Cricetulus griseus: one gene and its partner. The protein of the gene in region 1 purifies or fractionates together with the protein of each later gene. This does not show direct contact. Links are inferred from orthologs where the notes say so. Each region holds a gene or a part of one and is shown on either strand. Other genes may lie near its edges. The genes, in order: Ncapd3 and Smc4.

Region 1 (3,825 bases):
GGTCGGAAGGCCAAAAGGTAAGAGCAAAATTCCAGATCAAGGTGTGAGTAGACCTAAGACAAACATAATACAAACAATCAATCAATACAAACAATACAAACAAATCTAGCACAAAAAGAAGACATAGTAGAAGTGGAGAGTTATTGAATAAGGCCACAGGGGAGTAGTCAGTGATGGGAGTGCAGGCCCTGCAGAGTAGACAGCAGCCCTGAGATCAATTCTACTGAGGTGATGCAACAAGCAGAGTTCTGGTGACTAGACAATACAGTCAGAGTGGAGGTGCCCACTGCAGTTGGCATAGAGTGTAACTGTCAAGGAAAGCAACAACATACAAAAGGATTTCTCCTCCCCCTTTCTCTTCATCTCCAGCCGTGTCTTGCTATGCACTCCAGGCTGGCCTCAAACTCGGTCTTTCTGCTTTAGCCTCCCAAGTACGGAAATTATAAACATGCCACCATGCCCAGTTTAGTCTGTGAAGCAGTTTGTGCTGTGCGGTATAGGTACTCTGTAGCATTGCCTATCCCTTACCCTGTCTTTTTTGTTACTGTTTTTGGTTGTGGTTTGTTTGTTTTTGAGGTGGGATCTCACTATTATCTCTGGCTGTGCTTGAACTCACTATGTAGACCAGGCTGGCCTCAAACTGGGAGATCTACCTGCCTCTGCCTCAAGAGTGCCGGGATTAAAGGCATGTGCCATGTGCCCTGCTTTTTGGCCTATCTTTTGAAGGAAGGCAGAAACACATAGTCTGGTTTCCTGAATTTTGTTAGTCTTTGTTATTTTTAAAGGTGCCCAAGGCCTGTTGTGGTTGTACATACATGTAATGTACTCAGGAGGGAACCAATGCTGTGAGCATGTCTGTGGGGTATTTTCATGATTGTTAATTTATGTGGGAGGGCTCAGCCCCATGAGGCTAGTACCCTAACTACGTAGGGTAGCCCTGGGCTGTATAAGAAGCTAGCTGAGCAAAGGGAAGAAAGTTAGCTAGTGAGCAACATCCCTCCAAGATTTCTGCTTCAGTTTCTACTCATGTTCCAGCCCTGATTTCCTTCAGTGATGGATTGTGACCTGGAAGTATAAACAAAATAAACTCTCCTCCCAACAGGTTGCTTTTGGTCATGATATTTACAAAGCAACAAAAAAGCAATCTAGAGTACTTCTCTCATCATTATGGACTGTAAAGCAGAGATGGCTACAAACCACAGCTGGGCTGTAATCTTCAAAACCTGCCACTAGTGACCTACTTCTGCCAGCCAGTCCCTACCTCCTCAGGCTTCCACAGCCTCACAGTATGGCATCAGCAGCTGGGGAACAAACAGTAACACAAAGACCTGTGGTGGTGTTTCAGAGTCTACCAGAACACCTTAGTTTTTGTTTCCCTCTCTTTGGAGATGGCAGACATTTATAATGAGAAGTTAGACTGTGTATATGCTCGTACATGCACATGGGTATGGGTGTGTGTGTGTGTGTGTGTGTGTTGTGTTAGTAAAGCTCCAACCCAAGACTTTGCATGTTAAGCAGGCACTGAACTGTAGTTACACTCCTTATTTCTCTTGAGAGGCTAGGTCCTTGTAAGCATCAGTGAGCTTTCTTCCAATTCATCTAATTACTGGCTTTTGTGATTTGCACTCTCCTCCCAGAGCATCTGGACTTTCTTCGTTGAGAATAATATTTCCATTAATACACTGGTGGCCTTATTCTGCCACTTTGTCCAGGAAGCACATAAAAAAGGTGCCAGTGCACAGAATCGAGAATATGGCCTTCATGCTGCTGGGCTCTATTTTTTGCTACTAGAAATACCAGGTATGTATATGTCTGGCTGTCTGTGTTTATAGGTTCCACATCTGTTTACAACCAACTGGATGGAAAAAATACTTGAAAAGAAGCTGTTACATTTGTTGATACTGTGTATGTTCTTAAGCCTGTAATGATTGGGTCTGTATTGAACATGTACAGGTTTTTGTCTTAGTTCCTAACCCATACAGCAGAGCAGTTCATAGTGTTTACCCTGTGTTGGATATCTAGAGGTGATTTGAAGTACACAGGAACATGTGTGTAGTTTATATGCAAATAGCCATCTTCAAAGAGAAACAAAAGTTTCTGATTATTCAAAATTTTATGTAAGGGACTTGACTTTTCTAGTATCATCAGATTTGGTGGTATGATCCCTCGTTACTTTTTCAGATATCTTTATTTTTTATCCTCCTTATGTATTTATCTACTGCTCTCCTCACTAGTTAGAGCCTCCTCCTTTTTCCCATTTCCCTGATCAGATCACTGTGTCCTGCTCTTCCCCCTCTCTATAGCTCCCTTATTCCCCCACTCTGACAATTCAGGCTCTGAATTCATGTCTGAAGATTTGGAGCTAAGAGCTTCTGATAAGAGAAAAACATGCAACATTTGTTTCTTGGGGTTTGGCTTATCACTAATATGATCTTTTCTAGTTAACCTGCAAATTTCATGATTTCATTTTTCTTTACTGCTGAATAATACTCCACAGTGTAACTATACTACATTTTCATTATCCATTCATCATTTGAAGAACATTTAGGTTGTTTCCATTTCTGAGTTATTATGAGTAGAACAGCAATGAACATAGCTCAGCAAATAAATATGGAGTAGGATATTGAGTCCTTCAGGCATATGCTAGGAAGGGTTATAGCTGGGTCATATGGTACATGTATTTTCAGCTAGCTGACAGTTCCTCATACTGATTTCCATAGTGGCTCTACCAGTTTGCAGTTCCATCAAAATTGAGTGAGGGTTCCCTTTTGCCTACATAGGCTCCTGCTTTTGTTTTTATTGTTGATGATGGTCTTTGCCATTCTGACTGAGGTAAGATGAAATCTCAGAGTGGTTATGATTTGCATTCCTCTAATTGTTAGGCACTATGAACATTTTGGGGGATATTTCTTAGCTATTTTTCATTTGAGAATTTTCTGTTCAGGTCCGGGTCCTATTTTTTGAAGTGGTTGCTTTTTCTCCCACCCATCCCCCTTTTGGGGGGGATTCTTTGTATTTTGAGTTCTTTAAATAAAGTTCTACTTGTCAGTTGTTGGCTCATTTCTTGGGCAAATGGAGTCCTATTCAGAAAGTCCTTTCTGATAGCTGTTATCAGGTAGGGTAATACCAACATTAATCCCTATGTTTTCTTCTAGCAGTTACAATGTTTCCGGTTTCAGATTTAGATCTTTGACCCATTTGAAGTTAGTTTTTATGCAAGGCGATAAATATGGGTCTAATTTCATTCTTCTACATGTGAACATCCAATTTACCCAGCACAAATTGTTGAAGATACTTTCTTTTTTCCAATTTATGTTCTTGGCCTCTGTGTCAAATATTAAATGGCTAAAGCTATGTGTACTCATGTGGTCTTTGATTTTGTTCTATTGATCTACATGCCTGACTTTATGTCAGTATTATACTCTTTTTTTTTTTAATTGTTATGACTATTGTTGTTAAAGTATGTTTCCCCTCTCAGTGCTTTGAGTATTTTAAAGGTCTTTGTACTCTGGCTGTGTAGAACACAAATGTGTCAGCCCCATGGGAAGTGTAAAAATCATTTTTCTTCTTTTTTTTTGTTCTAATAGTTGTTCACTCACCATGATGGAGTTTTTATTGCACACGTGCACAGTGATGCTCGGCCTGCACAGAATCTTGTAGCTTTTTTTTATGTAGCTGCCCTTCTTCATAGGTCCCAGCTGCCTTGCCTTTCTGACTCTGATTCCTCTACTTTGTAAGGCTAGCATCTGCATGGATTTACCACTTCTCTGCTGAGATCCAGAAATGACCTACAGAGACAAAATTAGGGCAATTTCAGGTTTTATC
Region 2 (3,825 bases), on another chromosome or scaffold:
TGTATTTCCTAATAATGAAAGCTTTTAAATGCCTTTAGTTTTTTAAAATTAGTAGAATTAGTGTGACTGTAAATTTAAATTTTTAAAAAATTTATTTTTACACAGCGCTTTTCCTGTATTATTGGGCCAAATGGCAGTGGAAAATCCAATGTTATTGATTCCATGCTTTTTGTGTTTGGCTATCGAGCACAAAAAATAAGGTCTAAAAAGCTGTCAGTATTGATACATAATTCTGATGAACACAAGGATATCCAGAGTTGTACTGTAGAAGTTCATTTTCAAAAGATAATTGATAAGGTAAGAAATTATTTTCTACTTGCAACTTCAAGCAAGAAAAAGAAACATCGTGGCACATTTTGTTTTCATAGATCTGAATTATTTCTTACACTTTTTGTATAATTAAAGCAAAAGAAATATTCCTTCTGTGACCATATTTACTTCAACTCTTTGGAAGAAAATACTGATTTGGGGGATCCCAAGGACTAAATAAGCATTCATTCACTGTAAATACTGGCTTCATTTTTAAGTTATACTTTTTATTGCTTTAGAGTAAACGTTTTAATCTTTAAAATGTAATAATTTACTGATTTTTGCCACCCCCATTATTCCAACATACATTAAATGTGTCATTAGTAGCAGTGTGTATGTGTGTGAGATGAAATGAAAAAAATTTTCTAAGGTTTGAACTACCGTGATGCTTTTTTTTTTTTTTTTCTTTTTTGAAATGATAGGGGGCAGGCTACTGTTTTTGTTTTCTAGAAATAAAATTATAAATAATCACCAGGTTATTTACATGGTTCTGTGGGTGTTTTTTTCTCATCTATTTAGACAGTTAATGATTCAAAAATCAACTGAAAAGAACCTAAAAAGGAATAAAGAAATGCACATAATGAAGTGGTTAGATAATATAGGTGCTGGGGGATTGTTCTCTTTTTTTAGACATAAAGAAATTTAATTTCACAAAAGCATCTATCTTAATCTTGCTTCTTAATTCATTCTGTTGTACTTTTGAGTTAGAAAATAGATTGCCAATAAATCAGATATCCAATGCCTGTTAAGTTTGAGTTGTCTAAAATTGAATATGACCGGGCCTTAAAAATGAATGAGCTTTAATGGTAAAATAGATTCATAATTGATTCCCTTTATCAGGTATATAATTGTGAGATTTTTATGGTTTTACTTTCAATTAATGATGATAGGGATGCTGGGTGCAAAGGGTATCTTGTGTTGTGCCACACATACCTGACTGACAAGCTGTTCTCCCCCACAATACCACCACCAAAAAAAGTTTCCCCTTAATATTTTCCTTAAATTATCTCTTCCTATATAGCTTTTTAACCAGTCAACATGGTTATTAGGTTGAGTAGGGTGGGGTTGTTTTAGAGACGGTGGGACTCTTGTCCACCTTCATTGGCTCTTATTCAAATACAATTTTTGGCTTGTTGAGAGCTAAAGTTTTGTTTACTTGATTTGGCTTTTGGTTTTAGAGAGCTTTGAGAAAGAAACCCAACAACTTGGAGAAGTATCTAATCCCTGCTAAAGCAATTTTTTAAAACTCATTTTAGAGCAATTGTCAATTTTTGTATATATTTAATTCAGGGGAGATAAGGACAAATTATTTTTGTGTGTGTGTGTGTGAATTTGTCAAGAAAAATACAAGAAAAATTTTATGAAATATTTAATCTATTGAATTGGTTTCAGTATAAAAGTAAATGAAATCTGGACCAGACCTGCCTGTAACTTAATACCAACCATTTTCTGGTTTTGTTTTTTCCCTAAAAACAGGAAGGGGATGATTATGAAGTTATTCCTAACAGTAACTTCTATGTATCTAGAACAGCCTACAGAGATAACACTTCTGTCTATCATATAAGTGGGAAGAAGAGGACATTTAAAGATGTTGGAAATCTTCTTAGAAGCCATGGAATTGACTTGGACCATAATCGATTTTTAATATTGCAGGTAAGTTCATAAACACTTCCAAAGTTCTTGGTTTTTAATTTTTGTTTTGTAATAAAGCTAGAAAGAGTGTTCTTCTGTTTGAATCCTGTTATTTTGGAACCTTAAAGTACTATAGCAGCACATCATGGTTTACATACTATAGTCAAGATGCGAATCATTATTTGCTGCTCTAGAAATTTAAGGAAATTCATTCTAAATGATATGGTTATCATCACATGTTCATTTTGTTTGGATATCTGACATACTTGTTCCGCTCTAGCAGCACGTAAATATTGGCGTAGTGAAATAAATATTAAACACCAATATTATTGTGCTGCTTTAGTGTGACAGGCATACAGCAGCTCTCATTTCTGTTTGTATTTCCCTTTACCATTTGAAATAAAATCTTTTAATAGTCTCCCCTTTTTGTTTGTCATTTTTTTCTAACATAAAAACTATATGCTTGATATTTAACAAAAGGAAATTCCCCTGATCACCTAATATAGTACTTTTGACATTAATAATAGTAATAATAATAATAAATGTTTACTCAAGATGGGTCTTGTTTTATTTACAGTAGCCTAATTGCTAAACCAGTAATATTAGTATCGACTCTCAGAGAAGTCTTCTAAAAGAGCATAAAAATTAATGTCTGGTATTAATTTGATATTTTATTAGACCCTGTGGGGTTTTTTGGTTTGTTTTTGTTTTTCCTTTTGGGGCGTGTATGGGTGTAAAAGTATATCCTGCTATTATAACTTGGTACAAGGAAGATTTTTGTCATTTGGAATGGAGAGGTTGGTTGGGGTTTTTTGTTTGTTTTGTTTTGTTTTTGGTTGGTTGGTTAGTGAAATATGGCTTTGTTAGATACTGTGAAATTCCTGTTTTGATTTAAAGGTCTTATTCTCTTGTTCTATCCCAAGTTACTAAGGATAAATAAAATTTAAAGAGAGAGGTTGCATATTATATAGAAGCAACTGCCAATACACTATCATGTGCTACTGATTTTAAAATAAGTTAGGAGTTTTGATTTGATATAAAATGTTTTGTTGTGGTAACTATTACCATTAACAAGTTAGAATTTTTCAAACATTTTAGACTATTCTTCAGGGTTTTTTATTATTATTTTAAGCATATGTCACATAGAAGGCAAGTAAAATTTTCTGGAATAACTTTTAGTACCCCTTAACTATCAAAAATGGTGCATTTACAATATTTCAATAAACCACTGTTACTTAAAAATAAAATTTGAAAAAAAAATCAGTTACAAATAAGATTTGATTGTAAAAATTTGAATTTATATAGATTCAGTCTTAAGCCATTGTGGGTGTTTTTGTTTTGTTTTGTTTTTTAAATTAATTGTACTGTTTTGTGGATTTCTATATTCAAGAATTTGGCTTGATAAACTATAGATTAAAAAGTTGTGTTCCTTTGTAATGCTAAATTTAAGTGGTGGTAACATTTTTGAAGGAAATTATATTCACTTTTTGTTTATTCTTTGCTATTTGCTTAGTTTTATACTGAAATAATCAATCTTGTGCCAGTGCAAAGTAGACTATATTTTAGGTCTTGTAATGTTTTTGTGTGGTTTATTTATATGTAATTCGGTAATAAAGAAAGGTAATAAAGCAATTTCCCAAAGAAATAATAGTAAAGTGTTAAGTTTATATTAAAACATATGCTTCTGATGCACTGAAGATGCTCCTTCAATTTGTCTTCATTATCTGAACCCTTTCTGTGCTCTTAAAGTTTTTACATTTTTGATTGAACTTAGATAAGAACTTTTTAGCAACTTGCCTTTTAGGAAGAAAAGGGAGAAATTGGGCTAGATAAAACTCATAGAATCCTTTTAAATTCCAGGGAAAGTGGAAGTAGTTTCTGTGA

The links.
Region 2: the proteins of Ncapd3 (region 1) and Smc4 purify together in Homo sapiens (co-immunoprecipitation; 3 studies listed by BioGRID and IntAct, with this or other methods). This does not show direct contact. The link is inferred for Cricetulus griseus from reciprocal best matches to the Homo sapiens genes NCAPD3 and SMC4.

What each region holds. Positions count from the first base shown.
Region 1 is NC_048597.1:139,549,480-139,553,304, forward strand, and holds part of Ncapd3 (condensin-2 complex subunit D3), read left to right. Parts: intron 1-1,637; coding exon 1,638-1,800; intron 1,801-3,825.
Region 2 is NW_023276806.1:84,129,324-84,133,148, reverse strand, and holds part of Smc4 (structural maintenance of chromosomes protein 4), read left to right. Parts: intron 1-105; coding exon 106-297; intron 298-1,785; coding exon 1,786-1,962; intron 1,963-2,065; exon of another isoform or gene 2,066-2,143; intron 2,144-2,202; exon of another isoform or gene 2,203-2,297; intron 2,298-3,825. UniProt on the Homo sapiens protein: Central component of the condensin complex, a complex required for conversion of interphase chromatin into mitotic-like condense chromosomes.